Linked DNA regions of Macaca mulatta. The protein of the gene in region 4 interacts with the protein of the main gene of each other region in a biochemical or structural test. Links are inferred from orthologs where the notes say so. Each region holds a gene or a part of one and is shown on either strand. Other genes may lie near its edges.

Region 1 (4,977 bases), on a different chromosome or scaffold from region 4:
TGAAGAAGAGAAAGATTCACAAAGGAATTAACCTGTTACACAGACTGAAAAGGCTACTCTACGAGTCCCTCGAACAGCCAAAATGAAGCGTGATGAGAGAAGCAGAAAAATATTAGAAGTTGTGACTTTAAAACATAAGGAAGGTGCTTAGAGAAAAGAACTGTTTACTAAAAGCGGAGATGTCTGGTAAAGGAAGAGGAGAAGGGAGAGAGAGGAGAAGAAAAAGAGAAGTAAGCAGCAGAGGAGGAGAAGAAAAAAGACCAGGGAATCCGGGACAGAGGCAAACACAAATGCCAAGAGGAAGAAGAGAGGGAGGTGGCCTTTGCTGAACACTTGGAATATAGATAAAAAAGGATCACACACAAAGGCATATTTGTTTAAGCTGGTCTTTCAGAACAAAATTAGGAACCTTGTACTTTCTGCAGGGGGAAAAAAAAAGTCTCAGATGATAGCCTGATTACACACAAATGAGCTCCCAAGGAAAGGCCAAAATGACTTCCTCCTTTTTAGAAGAGCACAAGTCCTCCCTTGTAAGAACAATCCTGCCCCTCAGAGGCTGCTTCTCTCCCCAGTGATGTGCAAATCGATCTCTTATGCAAAAATCAACCATGCTTTCATTTCTGGGATATTTCCAGTTTCCATTTTCTAAGTGATAAGAGTCATAAAAAGTCAACAGCTTGCCAAGGAAAGGGAGTGAACAACATTTATGTTTTTAAATAAAGAAAAAGATCATTAACATTTAGATTACTTTTTTGCCTTTCGAAAATGTGACCACACTATCTCGGCTGTTCCTGAAGTCAGGCTTTCTATAGGAAAGGTGTTTCCAGGCATTTTGTTATCCTCACCTCGAATTTCTGCCTGAGTTCCATGTTTCCTTCTTCGTCCCCTTCTGGAATGGGTACATTGTAGTACTCACCTTCTTCTTGGTTAAGCAACTTGTACCTTTCAAAGACAGGAGAAAGAGAGTTACCACCGCAAGTTTAGCAAGCCTTCTCCTGAACCTCTAGTCAAGCTGTTTTGTGAAACGCATCCTATGGAGAGGCTACAGGTAGAGAAGTAGACATTTGACTTTTTTAAATTTTTATATTTTTGAGACAGGGTAGCTCTGTTGCCCAGGCTGGAGGGCAGTGGTGAATCACGGCTCACGGCAGCCTCAACCTCCTGGGCTCAAGCGATCCTCAAGCCTCAGCCTCCTGAGTAGCTGGGACTACAGGTTATACCACCACGCCCGGCTAATTTTTGTATTTTTTGTAGAGATGGGGTTTCTCCATATTGCCCAGGCTGGTCTCAAACTTCAGGGCTCAAGCAATCCACCTGCCTTGGCCTCTTGAAGTGCTGGGATTATAGGCATGAGGCACCATGTCCGGTCTCAACTGACATTTTAGAGACTGAAACCTAACTGTCTAAATGGTCTGATGCTTTGAGACATATTCAACCTCAGCAGCTTCCATACCATCCACTGGCTGGCATCTTCATTAGTTCCGAAACCCCAAAGGAAAGGGATCCCATGAAGTCATTCCTTGTTGTTCGATCCCAGTCCCAGATTTCTACAGACAGTCGTCGGTCTTTGTCTGAAGGTTTCAGTTTGCTACAAGACACACACACATGCAAACACTAGGTTATTTTGATCATGGTTTCTTGGGAGATACCACCTGTACATGATTTGAGCCTGAGATACAGAAATAGTATATTTGATTCTCTTCCTGGTCCAGTAAAATACCAACCCCTTATGCTGGCAACCAAAGCGCTACAGGAGGAGTTAACAAACTATGACCCATGGGCCAAATCTAGCCCACCGTCTATTTTTATAAATAAAGTTTTATTAGAACCCAGCCATGGTTATTTGTTTACATATTGCCTATGGCTGCTTTGGCACTAGAAAGTTGTACAGGTGCAACAGAGGCTATATGACCCACAAGGCCTAAAATATATACTATCTGATCCTTTACAGAGCAGAGCTTGCTGGTCCCTCTAGAATAGATAGCTACCTTTCTGGTTGTCCACAGAAAAGCTGCTTCCTGTATACTGGTCTACAAAGGGGACCTCCTGCTTTTGCTCAGCTGCACTCAGTCTTCCTGACTTATTTATTCCCTCCTTCCTTCTTCCCCTTCTACCATCTCTACCTCTGAAATCCTAGCAACCCTCCCAGGCTGGCTTTAAGTGTCACCTTTCTTTTCCAGGAGGTCTTCTCTCTTTGAAGGCAAGAATGATCTTGCCGTTTCAGTGGCAATAACACTTCCTATATTACTCACTCATTCTGTGGTCTAAAAATTATTTAAATTCTTGTCTTATGCCCTCCCCTAACTCTCAAAAGAACCTAAGTCTATCGAGAGGTGGACACACCGGATACATTTTTACATCATCTTTAATACCTTACACAGAATTGTTTAACCAGGTTAGATAATGATAATAATTTGAGGCCGGAATTATGCAACTCTTGGTAAATCAAATTACTATCTATCAAACAGGTGCTAATAGCTACCTCCCTAATGGCAGCCTGAGGAGGTCTTAGGACTGAAGACACGTTTAAAGACGTTTATAATGAACCTACTTCATTACCTCAAACAATGAGGTGGGCAACTGCATGGTGTATAGGAACGAGATTTGATCAAGGAGAGACCACTTACAATGTAAAGGACTCATTCCACTGGGGATTTAGTGTGGAGCGGATGGTTTTGGTTTTTTGTTTGCTTTCATTCTTGGGATCAGGAATAAGTTTCAGCTTCACATAAGGATCTGAAAGCCCGTTTGGATCCATAGGGATTAGATTTTTTGCATCTCGTACTGTGAAGAGAGAAGGAAGAAAACATTACAAAAAGAGAATGGACCTATATTGCCCAGTGTCCTGTGCCAATACCAAGCTGAGTAAAAGAGAAGTCAGGATGGCATTTAAGGAGAGAGATGGTGGGAAGCCAAACGCCTCTAACGCTCGTCATGAGAAAAGCTACCCACTGCCACCACCGGCAGAGATAACAGGCATCGTGTGGGCCCTTGTGGGCGGGTCTTGGGACTCAGCACCAGCCTGGACTGGCAGCATCAGCAACACTCAGATATCTATTAGAAATGCAGAGATCCAGGTCCCACTCCAAACCTGCCGAAGCAGAATCCATTATTTAACAAGATTCCCAGGTGACCTCTGCAGCACCCCAGGAGTAATGGCGCACCCTCCCAACATGGAGGCAACCAGCCCGACCTGGTCCATGGTGCCGCACATGCACCTGACCTCCCAGAAGGTGTTATCCCTTTTTGTGGGTAAAGGCCAATGGCTTCCAACTCTGACTGTACATTGGAATCACAAGGGAGTTGGGGAATGGGGGAGTTAAAAATTCTAATCCCCAGAATTAAACTAGAATCTCCAAGGAATGTGGCTCAAATATTTGTTTTTAAAAGCTCCTTGGGTGATTCTACTGGGCAGCAGGGGCAAGCACCATTGCTGTATACAGCTGTAACTCAGAATTGCTGCCCGGTGCTGATCCATGGACCAGCGACATCTACATCACCTGGGAGCTCATTAGACATGTAGAACCTTGGGTCCCACCTCAGACTTAATAACTCAGAATCCTCACTTTAACAAGACCTCCAGGCACTTCCAATGCAATCCTAGCTTGAGAAACCTGATATGGGAATCAAAAATAATTAGAAGGAAACGCCATTTCGTCCACAGAAGAAAGCAGGCTCGGAGATTTAAGAGCTGGCAGAGGCTCACAACCGTGAGAAGCTGTCTAACGCCACTGCACATCAACGTAAAAGGTAATTATCTACTGCTATGATGAAGGGACAAAGGCCTGAGCCTCCTACCCCAAATGCCTTCCTCATTATCTTCCCATGGCATCTTTCCCAGTGAGGCTGAATTACCAGATATGCAACTGGTCAGACACCATCAACACACGTATAACTGGGACCAGGCTCCCTGGTCCAGTGGTTCCCACAGTGTGGTCCCTGGACCGGCGGCACTGGCATCATCTCCTGAATCAGAACTCTGGGGTGGGGTCCAGTGGTCTGTGTTTATCAAGCCTCCGGGTGATTCTGATGTCCATAAATGTTGCAGAACCACAGATCTAGGCAATTAGCATAGTTTATCGGCATAGTTTAATTATTAAGAATTACAAAAGAACTTTAGAAGAAGGCACTGGAGTTGTCAGTGGGCACGGTTAGATGGGGAGGGGGCGGGGGGAGAATCCTAAAGATGTTGGGTCTTTGGACACAAATGAGGGAGGTACAGCCCTAAGATCAGAAGTCAGACAGGCATTGCCTTTACTAGTCTGTGGACCTACTGTGTGCCGCCTCCTGCCAGCCAACAGCCTTACATCCTCCTTACCTGGCAGCCTTACACAGGTGGGCAACAGATGGGACTACATTCAAATACAGAGGGGGAGGGGGCTGGCTCAGGCCTGCTAGCCACAGAGAAGCTGAATATATGTTTCTCGTACCCCATTTGTGCCTTCCAAGTATTTCTTCTCCTAAGAAAATATCTAACCTCATTCATCTCGGGGAGCAGATAGCACATAAATGAAACACACAGGCATGGTCCCTGTGGCTCAGCAGGTGTACGTGCGAACTCTGCCTCCTTCACCATGTAACCCTGAGCACTGGGAAGCTTTGTCTCTGAGCCTATGTTTCTTCATCTAGAAAAATGAAGAGGGGCATAATTCCAGTAGTATAGAATTGTTGAGAGACTCGAGTAAAAGAATGCTTATAAAACACCTTACATGGTTAGGGGCTTGGAAAATGAAAAAAAAAAAAAAAAAATCCATGATGTGAGTGCTCACTACACCCCAGGCATGATGGACTCGTTTCCACTCTTATCATGCTGAAATCTACAGGGCTGAAGGCCCCCAGGGGACTTGGTCACTGGATAATTCATCAAGCTCATGTGAAAGGTTTTAATCCAATGCAGAAGGTCTAGCCCACTAAAACATCAACCCTGAGTATCACCAAAGATTGAGCACAAAAATGGAGCTCTCCCATGAGGAATGG
Region 2 (5,568 bases), on a different chromosome or scaffold from region 4:
GCTCACCTGACCACGTTGGGGTGCTCGAAGGTCTCCAGGTGCCTCAGCACCGCCACCTCGCGGATGGTGGAGAGCGGCATGCCCTCCTCGCCCGTCTGCACCCGCACGCGCTTCAACGCCACGAAACGGCCTCCGTTCTTCAAGTCGCGGGCCTTGAACACCTTCCCATAGGCGCCCTCCCCGATCTCCGCCACGCATTCGTACTGCTGGTCAGCGCGGCACAGGCCGTCCTTCTCCATGCCGCCTGGACGCCGCCCGGCGCGTCGCCGCTGGGGCGGGCGGGGGGTGCGCTCAACTAGCTGGCGGCCGCCACTAGCCTACTCCGGGGCTCCCCGGAGATTGGTCTAGCTTTCCTTGCTCCCTGCTGGCTCAGGCGCTCGGGCGCTGGGGCTCTCGCGGCTGCGGAGGCTGGATGGAGCGACCTCCCCGCGGGGCTGGCGTAACTCTGGTGCCGCCGCCGCGAAACTCCGCCTGCAGAGTCGCTGCTGCCGCCGCCTGAGAAGCGAGCCGATCCCTCCTCTTCCCTCCCCGAAGCGAAGTCCTCAGCACAGACAGAGACGATTACATAGCCTCTGCCCAAGGGCGTCTCAGTCCAGAATCATTGCACCTAAAGGAGGAGACGGGAGGATAAGAAGAAAGTGCAATCAGACAGCCCAGAAGCCTTCCTCGGGGTTCCTCCAGACTCCCCTCCTCCTCCTTTACGAAGCCTCCATCGCTACCCTCCGCGCGCTCCTGCCCTCTCCCAAGCCGCTTAATCCTTCCTGGTTCCTCCGAGAAAAGCGAAGTTACTTTTCTTTCCCTGCAGGGCTGAAGCCGTCTTCGCGCGGAGAGGTTGCAGGGGCCCCTCGGGGATGAGCGAGCGGCGCGGGACGCAGTGGAACGGGAGGGGGCGTGCCGAGCAGCCCAGAGTGTGCCGGGAGCGCGGGGGAGGGGAGGCGCCGGGCACGTCAATGTCACGGCTTAATATTTATCCCTATATCATTGTGTTGCGTCGCTACCCTCCCCGCCTCCTGAGGCCCGGACGTGCAGGGAGATGGGGTCCAGGGGTGCCGGAGGGCGTTCAAGGGTCGCGCACAAGCTGGAGCGGAAGGACTGTGGGTCCATCCGTGTGGGGCCGCAGAATGTGGGTGGGGGCTCCCAGGACCCTGTAACCCGATGCTGTGAGTGTGCGAGAAGGGGTGGTCAGACATCTGCTCAGAAATTGCTTCCTTTCTTTCTACTTTCAGTTTTTCTACGAGGAGACATTTAAAAACGACTCGCATACACAAATGGTCTCTTTGGGGTAAAGGAGTCTCGGTTGGAAACGGAATTCTCTCTCCGACTGGGAGGACCTCCCTGGTGGAAACCTTGGGAAGACCAGCCATCTGGTCGGGGAGGGTTGGGGCTAATCGGGGGTGGGCGAACGAGAGGTCCTGGGGGAGGGGAGACACTGTCCCCCACGGGATCCCAAGGGTGGGAGAAAGGGGTGTTCGTCACAATTTCGCTTGTCGTCTTCTTAAAGAATAATTTCAGGAAGAGGATAGCTTAATCGCGCCTCGTCCTGAAGTTTTAAATTGATTTCGACCTGAGCAAAACTCAACCTCTCTTTCAAAGGGTGGGGGGTGGGGGGTTAAACCCTGCGCCTCCAGGGGTGAGAAACAAGGTCTCTGCCCTCGGGGCCCGGACTCGCGAACCTTTTCCCACTCCCAGGACCACCCCGCTGTAGGTAGCGGAGGTGGCTGCCCCATTCCCTCTCCGGCTAAAGGCCGGGTCCAGGCTGCAGCCGGACGCCCCCGGAGCCCTCTGCATAACAAAGCGCCGGAGAAGGGTACCCTAACTTTCCCTCCCCATTCAGCAGCTATCTGGGACCTAGGGAGCCTCCCTCCCCCACGGCCGCCGCGGCCTCGGCAGGACTTTCACCACGCTGGCCGCGTGTCCGGAATTCCCGGGGCACCTCGGAATTACCTGCCTCGCAACCGCTGCCCCGCTCGCCTTTTGCCAGGAATTAAACAAACGGCGCGACCCCCACGATGAGCGCGTGGAGCGGACCGCGGCGAAAGCAGTGCTTCTGGCACTCACTCCATTCAGAACTTTCCTTAAAAGCCGAGGAAAGAGCCCCCAAGGACTGCCCGGGCGTCTGAGCCAGGTCGAGGGCCACACAGGTAGCCGGGGAGCCGCCGCCGGCCGCCCAACCCGCCTCTCCTGCGTCCCCCCATCCCCCTCCCGCTCGAGTCTAGCCCCGGGCTCCGCAGCGAAGGAAGCGTCGGGGACGTCCCACCCCCGCAGGGAACTTCGCCTGCTGCCCCCGCCGGGCCCCGCACTACCCTGACTCTCCCCCCACTCGCCCCCCAGACGGTCGGCTTCGGCGGAGAGAAACGGGAGCAGCAATGCCTTTTCCCCCCCTCTCCTCCACTTTTTTTTTGTTGTTGTTGTTGCTTTCCCACGCTGGCTGAATGTGACTTGACCCCATTTCAAAAAAAGTTTGACATAGTGCTTCAACATTTCCGCATTCCTCCGCGACTACAAAGGCTGCAGCCGCCTCCTTCTGCTTTCTGTCTCTGCTCTCTGTCTTCACACTCAATGAAATCCTTCATGCGCCTCTCCCGAAGCCTGCCAAGCACCACAAGGGTCGCCACCAGCACGGCAACAAGAGGCCACACCGGGGACCGCGACTCCCGCGTGTGCGCACACGCAGATGCGCCCATATGCACACGGACGGGCGCCCTGCGGGGACAAGGGCTGCTCACCACGGGGCGTGTGTTTAACTCCAATATTTTAAATGATAAAAGTAAACTTGGAAACTAAAGCAAACGTGCGTCTTCGTGGGGCTCCAAGCCTGGGCACCGGCCGGCTGCGTGCACTCTTCTGTGCATAACACGCCCGCAGGAAGCCTGCGTTAACATTTATCTCGTGGAGGGGAAGGTGGAGCCCACACCCACACCTCAGCGAGCTGGCGAGGGAGTTTTCGTGGGGGAAATGCAAGCACATTCTCCAGCATGGAGTCCCTAGAGGCAGTGCATTTTGAACCCTAAATGTGAATTATTATGTGAATGTCCGAGTAGAGTTCCAGTTCCGTTTGGAGAAACTGGATGAGGAGTGTTCTGTGTGAGTGTGTGTGCGCACGGGTACGTGGAAGCAGGATCTCGGTGTCGCGGGTGTCCCTAGCGTAGGATCTCCCCCTCTCGTCAGATTAGAATCCTCTAGCTCCCCAAAACTGGCCCCCATAACCAACGCCGTCTCAGTTCGTAAGGGGTTAACCAAAGCCGATTCCAGGGAAACACAGGTCCCCCCCACCCCCCGCCAGCCTCCACTTACCCCACCCACAGTTCTGCCTCGGACCCCGGCCAATCCCCCATATCTCCCCAGGGACCCCCCACCCCGCAGCCCACCCACCCGAGCGCACAGCTCCTCACCTGAGGGGCCCAGTCGCGTCGGGCCTCCTGAGGGGGCTGCGAGTGTCAGTCGGCTCTCCGCACGTGTCCGCGGCCTCGCGGAGCAGGTAATCAGACTCTGGGGAAGGAGTTACCAGCACTCTCTCCGGCGAGGGGGTGGGCACAGCGGCGGAGGGCGGAGGGAAGGCGGAGGGCGCCGCCCGCGCCGCTAGCTGGGGGCGGACGGGGGCCGCGGGGCTCTGGCCGGCGCTGGGGGCCCCAGCCAGGGAGGCAGCGGGGGCGACCGCGCGGGGTGGGGGCAGGGACCCGAGAAGCCAACTCTGCCGGAGACCCACCCAGCGGCGAGGCTGGGGGCTCGTGGCGCAGTGGCAAGAAAGTGTGCAAATTAAAGCCTTCCGGAGAGAAAGGAGGCGGCCAAGCCCCGGCAGTGCTCCGAGCTCCGGGCTCCCTAGCTCCCTTCTACGAGTCGGGGGCTAGAAAGGCGCGGGGCGGGGGGGTTGGGGGGGCAGGGGAGTTAAATGAAAATTTCCGGCTTTCACTGAAACTGTAGTAGGGGGATCCTGCGACTAAAATAAGCGGCGTTAGTGGGAGAGAGTGGGACGTGTCGTCGGGAGTCGGCGGAGTTTCCAAACCCAGGGTCGCCCAGAGTTGGGGTTTTGACAGGGTGAAGCAGGGGGTATCCTCACTGTGTGACGTGGACGGATGGGAAAAACACAAAACAACTAACAATAATTATGAAGGGCCGATGGGGGTGGTAAATACCAATACTTTCCAAGAAACTGAAAAATCAGACCAAAAAATAACTCTTCTCTTAAAAAAATAAAGAAAAAGTTTGGCAGGATGCCTTGCAGAAAAGAAAATACTAATCTGTTCAAGCACTTTTCACTTTCAGCATGAGCTACATTTGTTTTGTTTTCCTTCGCTTCCTTTCTGCCTCACAAAGCCCTATCTTTTCCTTTTAGACAGAGGGTATGGTTTGGAAATTGTCAGGCACTCTTATGGTTAACGATCTACTTGAAGGGGCTGGCGGGTTCACAATTATTAAGTGGTTAGTAACTGCTGAGGGTTCACTAACGTATTTCAGAGGAGCTAAAAAGACTAAAATTTAGTGTAAATAATAGAACTGCAGATAATAGATACATACACAGAAAGAGGAGTGCTCAGTTTAAATGCATTATTGGAAATCTGAAATTTGAAACCTTGTAAGAATGTATACTTTACCTGCTGAGAAACCCTTGAATACAATTATTTCAGGTGAAAATGAGCTTTTGGAGAAAAAAAGTCTTTAAAACCTTCTACAATGGAGTAAAAGAAAACTTGAAATAGCTGTCTTTTTGGAAAGAATTTGGTGTTCTCCCCAAAATCTCTATCTGTAGAATACTTGAAACCCTTTAAAACATATTAAAGAAAAACTTTTCACAAAATTATTTACTTCAGTGCTTTGTAGAAAAATTAAAACCCGGCAAAATTCTGTTTGAATTGGACATACTACTTCTATAAATCTTTTGACTTTAAAACCATGTTACTGATCTCATAGTAAATCAAATTTTTGCCTTTATAAAATTGATTCTATATTATAGTATAAGGTAAGGCTAGGGAAATAAAAAATTGATGCATTTCCAGTAGCACATATTTTGCAATGCATTATAATATTTTTTTCTTTAAAAATAAAAGTGAATAATTGTATGTCTTTAAGCTTAAGATAATTCATAAAATACATTTGTGTTAAGAGCATGTCTTCTAAAATAAGATCCAGTTTTCTGAACAAAATTTGTATTTATAAAGCTATCTATAATCTCATATATCTTATAAATTTAATAAGGCAAATCATTAGATTTTATATTTACATAAAATATTAGATCACTACAAATCACTAGACTTTAAGCCAGAGACACAAATGGGAATCCTCCATTTGGATAATTGTTCACACTTACCATTTGCCTTTTAAAACAAGGTTTACTTGATGGTAATTAACACGTTTATATAATCCAGAAATAATTGCCAGTAAATAGGAACCAGCACATCATGGCTAGAATTTATTTGAATAAATCACTTATTTAAAAAAAAAATAAGCTACAAATATCTTTTAAATGAACAGAGAAGTGTCTTTTCTACACTGGGTTGAAGTTTTAATTACTGAATTTGACAACAGCCATTGCTAGATCAGAAATTCCATGATTTAGGTTACTAGATCATT
Region 3 (5,542 bases), on a different chromosome or scaffold from region 4:
AACATTTACATCCAGTGAAATGTACAAATCTCAAGTGGACCATTCCATCAGTTTGACAAACGCCTACAAGGTAGAACCCAAGCTCTTATTAGTATTTGTTAAATCCATGTTAGAGTTTGATCAGAGAAGCACAGCCTTTAAGACTCTCACCCTGCTTTGAGGAGAATGGCAAAAATCTGCGAAATTTCTCAGCAGAGTCAGGAGAGAGTACCACTGGTAACGTGAAGCACGTCAAGCTAAGAAAGGAAGCACTGAAGTTAATTGTCCTGAACGGAACCTGATAAGAATCTGCCATTTCATCCCCTCAAGACTGGACTCAAGTTGGGAGAGAATATTGCCTTTTGCCCTGTCTAAACTAATATCACTGTTTAGATCTACAAAGTCCCCCACCTTCCCATGTTTATGTATTACACTGCATTACAAGTCAAAATAACACAGAGAATCTGGAAAAAGGAGAAGGGGAATGTTTCCAACGAAAAGCACACCCCTTAAGGCGTCTGGCCTGAGAGCTATATAGCATGCATAAAATCTGATAATAAGCACATTATGACCCACATTGCATATAACAAAAAGTAGGGCACTTCTGAAGGGTCCTGAGAAACAGCCCTGGACTTTTAAAACCTGCTTTAAGAAGGCGATCAACCGTACGCCACTTTCAAACGCAGCACTGACATGTATGCTCCACAGTCATCAACAGAGAAAACAACAGTTTTCAACAAGAGTTGAAAACTGAGTTGAGGGTTTTTTTTTTTCTTTTTTTTTTTTTTTTAAGTTTGAGGCCAAAATCGGTATTTATTCTTTTGAATGATGCTTATATCTTTTTCCTGGTTAATATGCACGCTGGTGGTACAATTTTGAAAACTACGTAACGTGATAGAACCACCACCCAGAAACGAGTCCTGTTAACAAACTTTTTGTATTCAAACTTTTTCCACTGCACATAGTTTTTATTTTGACAATGCTTTTAGACAATCGTTCTTTTAGCAACCAGCACTTTCAAACAAAAAGTACAGGGAATAGTAAGTTTTTTCCCCCTCCTCTGGCAGATTTGACCCACAAATTGCTATAGGAAGAAAGTGTTAATTATATTAAAACATAGTTTGACAGAAAGTATTTAAAAAGAGAAAGGGAAAACATCACGCTTTTATTTTGGTGAATTAGCAACAAAGAAAAGGATTAGCATGGACGGGTACTTTTCAAAAATATTTTTTTTTTCCTCTGGCTCCCGCTAGGGTGGAGGAAGTTGTCTCTGCTCAGAGACAGGGTGGAAGAGAGTGGAAGGACAAATGACTGAGAGGCGGCCCCCTCCCACTGGTGCGGGCGTGCGGGGGTCGGATGGGGGGCCGCGGAGGGGGGAGGTGGCCAGCAGGTGCCTGGGCTCCAGTCCCCTACCCCCACCCTCGTCCCCACCCTCACCCACACCCAGGGATTGGCCTCGCCCCCTGGCGGGCGAGCAGTAGGTGTCGAGGCACTGGGGTGGGGGGTGCAAACCTCGCGGGCAGCGGAAAAGAAGCCGTGGGGGGCCTCCCGGCCCCGGCACACACTGCGAGGCTGGCACCCGCCCGCACGCACACCCAGTCCGCAGCCCCGAGGAACATGTCCGCAGCCAGGGCGCGGAGCAGAGTCCCGGGCAGGATAACCAAGGAAGGGCGTGTGCTGTGGCGGCGGTGGCAGCGGCAGCGGCAGCGGCAGCGGCAGCGGAGCCGCTAGTCCCCTCCCTCCTGGGGGAGCAGCTGCCGCCGCCGCCGCCGCCGCCACCATCAGCTCGCGGGGCCCGGCCGGAGCTAGCCCGGCGAGCGGCGCGCGAGGGGGAGGGCGGGGGCGGGGAGGGGGGTGGGCGAAGGGGGCGGGAGGGCGTGGGGGGAGGGTCTCGCTCTCCCGACGACCAGAGCCCGAGAGGGAGACCCTGGCGGCGGCGGCGGCGCCTGACACTCGGCGCCTCCTGCCGTGCTCCGGGGCGGCATGTCCGAGGCTGGCGGGGCCGGGCCGGGCGGCTGCGGGGCAGGAGCCGGGGCAGGGGCCGGGCCCGGGGCGCTGCCCCCGCAGCCCGTGGTGCTGCCGCCCGCGCCCCCGCAGGGCTCCCCCTGCGCCGCTGCTGCCGGGGGCTCGGGCGCCTGCGGTCCGGCAACGGCAGTGGCTGCAGCGGGCACGGCCGAAGGACCGGGAGGCGGTGGCTCGGCCCGAATCGCCGTGAAGAAGGCGCAACTACGCTCCGCTCCGCGGGCCAAGAAACTGGAGAAACTCGGAGTGTACTCCGCCTGCAAGGTACGCGCTCGCCGTTCTCGGACCGCGGATGGGTGCTAGGGGCCCAGCCCGCGGGACCCCCCTCCCCCTCCCGCTTCCACCTCCGCCTCCCGCCTTCTGCCTTCTGCCTCTCGCCTCCCGCCTCCCGCCTGGGGCCGCTGCACCGCGGAAGTGCTCTTGTCGCCCGAGCCCAATTAGCTTCTTCTTGGATAAGAGTCCTGCTGGGTTTGAAGAAGGGGATCACTAAGACGGAGAGCCCTTCATTCCTTCCGCTTGAAAGGAGTAGCTTCGGAATCCGAGCTCCCGGGCTACTCTGGGGTTTTGTTGCTCTGTAGGAGCTCGCTGGAGTCACTTTCGCGGGAGTGGAGCGGTGCTCTCCATGTGGTGGGCGACCCAGGGGCAGGGAAACATCTTTTGGGGGACTGAGTGGTCCCTTCTGCAGTCGATCCCTTCCCGTGTCCCACTGGGAGGAACTGGGTGCAAGGAGTCGGGGTGGAGAAGACTCCCGGACTCCTGGCGCTTTGGGAAAGCGAAGGGGAGGAAAGCGCGGGGTGCGAAGGTGGGCAGAGCCCGAGGCGAGGGTCTTGTGGCGCCTGACGCCCTCGGCTGGGGGCGGAGGCGCTGCCGCGCGCAGTGACAGCCCTGTCATTATTGTATTATTACTTGTTTAGTTAAAACGCTGTCCCAGCTGCTCGAGGTGTAAACAGGATTTGGCAAGGTGACAGCCCAGCGCCGCGGACGCTACTGCTTGGTTTGAGGACACCCATTTCTTGCTACCCACTCTCCGTGCCAGTTTAGGCACCCTGTCATCCCCAGCTGCAGATCCAGATGTGGGGGCCGTGCTCCCGAGGTGGGAGGATTGCCCGAGGCCGCGGGGCAGGCTGGCCCTGCGCTGTCAGCAGCGGCTTTGTTTTGACAGGGTGACAGCTGAGGGGGGCGGGGACTTGGCCTTGTCAGCTCCTGCGGCCTGTGGCAGAGGCAGGGAAGAGACACACTCACACACACTCACACACCTCCCTGTATTCTTCCTGCCTGCTGCAAAGAGGGTCAAGTTCCCAGATTCCGGATTCCCAATTCCCACAACCAAGCTGCAGTGGCCACTTCTGAATTTTGATATAACTATTATTTATTCTACTGGAACATCTGGGTTATACTCTTCTTAGTACTTACAGGAGCTTCTTAGTCACAATGGAATGTCTGTGCTTGCTCTTTTTCCACACCGTATCCTCATGTTTATGTTGAGCACCTCTGTATCCTATACTGGTTCGATAAATATTTGTTGAGTGAATGTGGGATCTAGCCCAGTGCTCCTCAAACTTTCATGTGCATGGGAATCTCCTGGGGAAGCTGGTTAAAATGCTGATTCTGAATCAGGTGGTCTGAGGTGGAAGCTAAGAGTTTGCATTTCTGACGAACTCCCAAGTGGCACTACGCTAGTCCACAGACCACATTCCAATTCAGACCTGGACAGTATATTATTTGTCCCCGTTGAATTTAGCAGAAAAGACAGAAACAAATAATAATGCCGTGTGGTTATTTCTGAAGAAGGAATGCAAAAAAGATGAAGTGGGGAGTGTGCTTTTTGAAAGGTGCAAGCCCAGGAGTTGATCATGAAGGGCATTAGATGAATGAGAACAGGCCACTGACTGTAGTAGGCAGAAGGGAGAGCTAGGTACAGAATTAAGAACAAGGTCGTGAGTTCAGGGCATACTGCTTGGGTGATGGATACACCAAAATCTCACAGATCACCACTCAAGAATTTATGTAATCAAACACCACCTGTTCCCCCAAAACCTATGAAAAAAAAAAAAGCAAGGTCAATTACTTGGTGGCCTTGGCGTTTTGCAGCCAAAGTGGGCTCATGCAGGAACTGTGTCAACTCAGTGTTTCTGTCCTGGCTTTATTTTAACATTTGTTTATTGGGTTATCATTACCAGCACCTCTTAAAGACTTCCTGCTGCCTGCTGTAGCTTTAATATCTGAAAACTTTCCTGAAGTTTTGGTTTTGTCTAAAACCATGAGCATATGTGGCCTGCATTGATGTTTTTGATCTTTTCAAATTTCCATGGGTGAGATGTAGCACCACTTCCAAAGTTTGAGATTTGAGTGTTTTCTGGTCACTTTCATGACCAAACAAGAGAAATAGAAAATTTATTTTAAGGCCTTTTTTTTTTTTTTTTTTTTTTGAAACAGGGTCTCACACTGCCTGCAGGCTGGAGTGCAGTGGCATGATTGTAGCTCACTGCAGACTCAATCTCCCTGGGCTCAGGTGATCCTCCTACATCAGCCTCCTGACTAGCTGGGGCTACAGGCATGCACCAGTACACTATTATTATTATTTTTTTTATTCTTTGTAGAGACAGGGTTTCACCTTGTTGCCCAGGCTGTTCTCGAACTCCTGAGCCCAAGCACTTTGCCCGCCTTGGCTTCCCAAAGTGCTGGGATTATAGGCATGAGACACCATGCCCGGCTGAAAGTGTTCATTTTTATGTGTCCATTCATTCAGTAAATATTTGGAGGGTTACCAACTGGGTGTCAGGCATTGTGCTAGGTGCTGGGCCTATGACACACAGAATTTGTCCTTCAGGAGTTACTTACTGTGTGTGTGCACAAGTGCATGTGTGTGCATGCATGTGTTGGGGCCTAGGGAGGAGGGCAGTGAACCAGAATTACAGAGAAGTTCAGAAAAACTACTTTCTTGGAGTACTTGCGGACCCAGAGCAGGACAATTCATAGACTGGGGCACTGGTAGGGTGGGATTGCCTTCCTGGAGGAAGTGTCAGTGGCTGCTAAGAACTCTTGGCAGGGCAGAGTGGGGTGGGGTGAAGCTTCTTGTAGTGGAGAAACTGAAAGCAGTTCTGGAAGCTTGGAGGTGGACCAACTCCAGCCAGACCTTTGTTGCCTAGGGCCACCTGGTTGGGGGTGAGGGGTACGTGGCCAAGAGGGCACTGAGGAGTGCAGGAATCTTAACCTGGGGAGTGACACTATCTCAGATTTGCTTTAAAAAAAAAAAAATTAACTGGGCTCGATTGGATAATAGGGAGGGTAAGAGAGCAGAATCTGTGGTTCTCTCTTGGCTTGTTTCTGCACTTACTATGAGCAAGCCCGAAAGGACAGATTGCTCTACCTTTGCCACAGGCCCCTTGGCAAGTTAGATTAGAGAGATTAGAGAATGAGGAGGGATCTAGAAAGAGATAAGGTAGTTTGCTGGGGGGCTTTTGAAAGAAAAACAGGTCCCAGGCCTGATATAAATCTGGCCTTTAAACTTCACAAACAAAACCAAAAAAGAAGGGAGCTA
Region 4 (3,990 bases):
ACGCAAAAATAAACTTTTAGAATTGAGCTGCACTGAGTAAACTTGGCTCATCATATACTCTTTTTGTCAGATGTAAAAAAAAGTTCAGTTATTAAAATTGAACCCCAGAATTAAAATTGCAAAAGCTTAAAGGGGCAGTTCTGAGAAAAGGATCTTCAGTATTGAATGTGTGGGCTCCACCAGGGTTGAAAATCCTGCACGATTGATGAAACACGATCCAGTTAAGCATAGTAATTTTCAAATATTATCCAATCAGGTCGCTACTGTTTCTAAAAACAGAGAAACCGAGCAAGGGCTTTAGAGTTGCAGCTCTAAAACTCCATTGCAACTAAGCTCCTTTGTCCTGATGAGGGCCTAAACCAAGTCGACAGCCTGTAAGTGCACCCATGGTAAAGCGCTGCGCAAAGCAAGAGCATTTTGCGTTTCAAAGCTTTGTCATGATGGCGCTGCAGAAAGCGAGCGAGCTAGGCCTACCTGGTGGGGCTTTCAGAGGACGCCAACGTGGGCGCCAGTCACGCCAGAAGGGTCACCGTCATTCCCAAGGACAGACACCTCTCTAGCCACTGCTGCGGAGAGGGCGTGATTAAGCCATGAATTTTGCTTACTATCCCAGAAGCATTTCTTAGGACCACCCAATTTCGGAAAAGGCTACTTTAGCAATATTGACCCAAGAACGCAATGTCCGCACTTTAACCTTGCATAATAAAAAAGCCTCAAGCCTGGGACTAGGCTTCAACCTTGGTTCGTTACAGTTATGACTAATTAGCTTGGGGTCGTGAGATGCGGGACTTCGGGCTACTTAAAAAAAAAAAAAAAAAAAAGCAAAACAGGTGATCTAAAATTCGACTTTAACTCGGTGCATTTGAATTCACCTTGCTATCTTTGATAGCCTCATCTGGCAAGAATTTACTACTCAACCTATGTTAAAGTTCCTATTGACTCTCCAAGTGATTCTAATATAAATGAGGGCGTATTGCATTTGCTTGGGGGAATTTCATCTGTGTACTACAGCTCTTTTCCCGAAGTGTGTAGGTGGCTCTTAAAAGAGCCGTTGGGTTAGTAAAGTTTCCAACCGAATTTACTTTTTCTTGGGTGCCGCTTTCTTGGGTTTGGCAGTCTTTGGCTTCGTCACCTTAGCCTTGGCCGCCTTGGGTTTTATAGCCTTAGTTTTAGCAGGGCTTTTAGCTACTTTCTTGGGTTTTACAGCTTTGGGTTTTTTGGGACTCTTAGAGGATTTCCTTGTTGCCGCAGACTTTTTAGCATTTTTTGGAGTCTTGACGTTCTTTTTGCTAACCCCCGTGGCCTTTTTGGGCTTTTTAGACGCACCCGTTGCCTTGGTTTTTGCAGCCACCCTTGAAGCGCCGGGCTTGGTTTCCACGGAGGATGCCTTCTTGTTGAGTTTGAAGGAACCCGAGGCGCCGGTGCCCTTCGTCTGCACCAACGTTCCCTTGCTTACCAGGCTCTTAATACCCAGCTTAATGCGGCTGTTGTTCTTCTCCACATCGTAGCCTGCGGCCGCCAGCGCCTTTTTAAGAGCAGCCAACGACACACCACCACGCTCCTTAGAGGAGGAAGCAGCCTGCACGATCAGCTCTGACACGGAAGGGCCAGCAGGCTTTTTCTTAGTGGCCACCGCAACCTTAGCAGGTTTCTTTGCCTTCCTGCTAGCTGAAGGTTTCTCAGGAGCAGCAGAAGCGGCGGGAGCGGGAGGCGCCGTTTCGGACATGGTGACTAATACAGCACACCAAGTAAACTGGTATAAACCTGACCAAGCAGGATGCGAGAAAAAAAAGGCCCCGACTCAGCCTATTTATAGGGTGGGACTGCGCAGTGATTGGTGCCCGTCAGTGCCCGCCCCTCGCACCCTAGCGCCCCCTGCGCTCTGCAGAGGGTTTCCCCCAGTCTCAGAGAGCACCTGGGGGCCTCTAGGGCCTATGGTCCCGCTCCCCTCAACGCAAGCAAACACACCGAAAAAGCCGCTCCGATTGCCTCATTGTGAAGGAAATTGTAGGCCGACTGCCACCTAGTAACATCAGAGGGTGCCGCTTGTCTCTCAAAAAGCAGCTCTGTTTTAGGGAGTAGGTTGATGGGGAGCGGTTTGCAAATGCAGCCCCACAAGCATCCAGGGAGTTTTATTAGAAAGTTTTAGAGGTCCGTTGCCAGATATGTTAGTTTTTAATTTGCAAGAAATGTAAAATACAGTGTTTGAATAGTTGGGGAGGAAGAGGAAAGTGCGGGTTTTAGGCCGTGTTAGGGCTAGTAGTCATCAACTCGATTACATTTTCTGGCAATGTTTTAGAGCGATGTGTCTCGCGAATACCTTTCACGTCAAAGAAGAATGAATCGTAGACAACACCAGAATTCACTAACGCTGCAATTAATACTCAAACTGCAAGTGTGGAAACGTTTCTGCACTTGTAACTTACTTCCACAGTCCAATGTGGGATGCACTTCAGGAATTTCCAATGCCCTTTTCATCCATACAACATGCCCCAAATGGGTGTTAAGGTTTACAACCTGTGTTCCATGTCAGCACATGCAATGAGAGCACCATGACATGGTGAACTCATTGTTTTATTCAACAAAGATTTATGGGCCTCACAAACCTGCGAAAGGCGTTAAATGCTGGGTCCAAGAAACTGGTTCCCCGACAGGCATTCTGCTGGGGAGTTAAGTCTCCTTAGTGTGAAAACAAACGGTAAGTGTAAGCACACCCTGGGGATAAGATTTTATGGTAACCTCTCTTTAGCTTGTTTGTGGCTGTTAAGAGCATTTCAAATTATCAATAAGCTAAAACGATCTCACATTGCCAATCAGAGACTCAGCTAACGGGAGAACAAAAAAAACTATTAAATCGACATCCACTTCTACAATCCTATTCTGGATAACCCCCTAACACAGCGGAGAGTGAGGGAATGCGGTCTATTTCCGTTCGTGCTGTTGTAGTTTTTAAATAAGTCCGAACTGTGCTAAGTAACCTGAGCTTTTTCCCTTTTTCTTCAAACAACGTGTCAACCAAATAATTGTAGTAGTCCCAGATAACTATTGTACCCATCTTCTTTACCAGTGTTTCCTACGTCTATTTTATTGAGAAGCCACGCATTCAAATATTTCACGTAATTTCTTAAAACTTGGAAAATAACATTTGGAAACTATACATCTTGGTTTGACGGCTAGTCAGTTATGAAACACAGGTATATAAAATTGGAAGGTTTTTGTAAGTAAACCCTTTATGAAAGATATAAACCTTTCTTAATGTAATAAGCGAGGTATCTGAAAAAAACGCAACTTTTAAAAAGGAAATACTCCGAATTATCTGATTCAGGAGCTTCCACTTTAAATAATGGGTTCTGCCTCCCTTGTTTCCATTGGGTTAAACTGGCTTCAAATAAAATGGGAACGCTCCATGCAAATAAAGGATGATAGATCTGCTTTCTAAATGGCTGTTCAAGAAAATAGCCTAAACCAATCAAAAGATAGAAAGTGGCCTGTCTCCTGTGAATTTAAAAAGGTCACAATCCACTTTTTAGTGTTTTGAGACTTTTAAAATGATTGCATTAGCGCTTGGCAGTGCTAAATTATGTTCCTTGCGGACTACCATCCAGTTTCTCTTGGGCCAAGTCCACCTCCTGCTCCGCAAGAGCAACAATTCCCAGCTGGTGGTACCTGGCGGCAGTGCTGGAGAAACGCCATTTATTGACTGGCAGAGTACACCTAGGCTTAGAAAACAAAAGCTGCAGAACACTGCAAGTTTAGGATTCAAAGAGCATAATCAAGAGAAAGACGTCTCATAGAAAATGTTTCTATGAGGAATAGTGTAATCCTACTATGTTTGAGATGCTTTGTAGATTTCAATAGCGCTACTAAGTCAATTAAAGCATTACAAAGGAATGCAATTCTTGTGAAAGGTTTCAGAAATTCCCGTAAAGGGTACATTTCCGGAGAGGAGAATTCCCTCTTTTTTTTTCTCCTAAAGAGCTGAAGGCTATA

Evidence for each region.
Region 1: of the proteins of H1-1 (region 4) and PRKCA, one has a biochemical effect on the other in vitro, tested with the Homo sapiens proteins (3 studies listed by BioGRID). The link is inferred for Macaca mulatta from reciprocal best matches to the Homo sapiens genes H1-1 and PRKCA.
Region 2: of the proteins of H1-1 (region 4) and CDK6, one has a biochemical effect on the other in vitro, tested with the Homo sapiens proteins (2 studies listed by BioGRID). The link is inferred for Macaca mulatta from reciprocal best matches to the Homo sapiens genes H1-1 and CDK6.
Region 3: of the proteins of H1-1 (region 4) and KAT2B, one has a biochemical effect on the other in vitro, tested with the Homo sapiens proteins (2 studies listed by BioGRID). The link is inferred for Macaca mulatta from reciprocal best matches to the Homo sapiens genes H1-1 and KAT2B.

Annotation. Positions count from the first base shown.
Region 1 is NC_133421.1:76,437,470-76,442,446, reverse strand, and holds part of PRKCA (protein kinase C alpha type), read right to left. Parts: intron 2,785-4,977; coding exon 2,628-2,784; intron 1,589-2,627; coding exon 1,454-1,588; intron 943-1,453; coding exon 846-942; intron 1-845. UniProt on the Homo sapiens protein: Calcium-activated, phospholipid- and diacylglycerol (DAG)-dependent serine/threonine-protein kinase that is involved in positive and negative regulation of cell proliferation, apoptosis, differentiation, migration and adhesion, tumorigenesis, cardiac hypertrophy, angiogenesis, platelet function and inflammation, by directly phosphorylating targets such as RAF1, BCL2, CSPG4, TNNT2/CTNT, or activating signaling cascade involving MAPK1/3 (ERK1/2) and RAP1GAP.
Region 2 is NC_133408.1:126,534,466-126,540,033, reverse strand, and holds the start of CDK6 (cyclin-dependent kinase 6), read right to left. Parts: upstream 3,519-5,568; 5' UTR 3,393-3,518; intron 2,740-3,392; exon of another isoform or gene 1,945-2,739; intron 882-1,944; exon of another isoform or gene 720-881; intron 608-719; 5' UTR 240-607; coding exon 7-239; intron 1-6. UniProt on the Homo sapiens protein: Serine/threonine-protein kinase involved in the control of the cell cycle and differentiation; promotes G1/S transition. Phosphorylates pRB/RB1 and NPM1.
Region 3 is NC_133407.1:28,521,620-28,527,161, reverse strand, and holds the start of KAT2B (histone acetyltransferase KAT2B), read left to right. Parts: upstream 1-1,930; 5' UTR 1,931-1,962; coding exon 1,963-2,265; intron 2,266-5,542. UniProt on the Homo sapiens protein: Functions as a histone acetyltransferase (HAT) to promote transcriptional activation. Has significant histone acetyltransferase activity with core histones (H3 and H4), and also with nucleosome core particles.
Region 4 is NC_133409.1:157,090,670-157,094,659, reverse strand, and holds H1-1 (histone H1.1), read right to left. Parts: upstream 1,727-3,990; coding exon 1,079-1,726; downstream 1-1,078. UniProt on the Homo sapiens protein: Histone H1 protein binds to linker DNA between nucleosomes forming the macromolecular structure known as the chromatin fiber. Histones H1 are necessary for the condensation of nucleosome chains into higher-order structured fibers.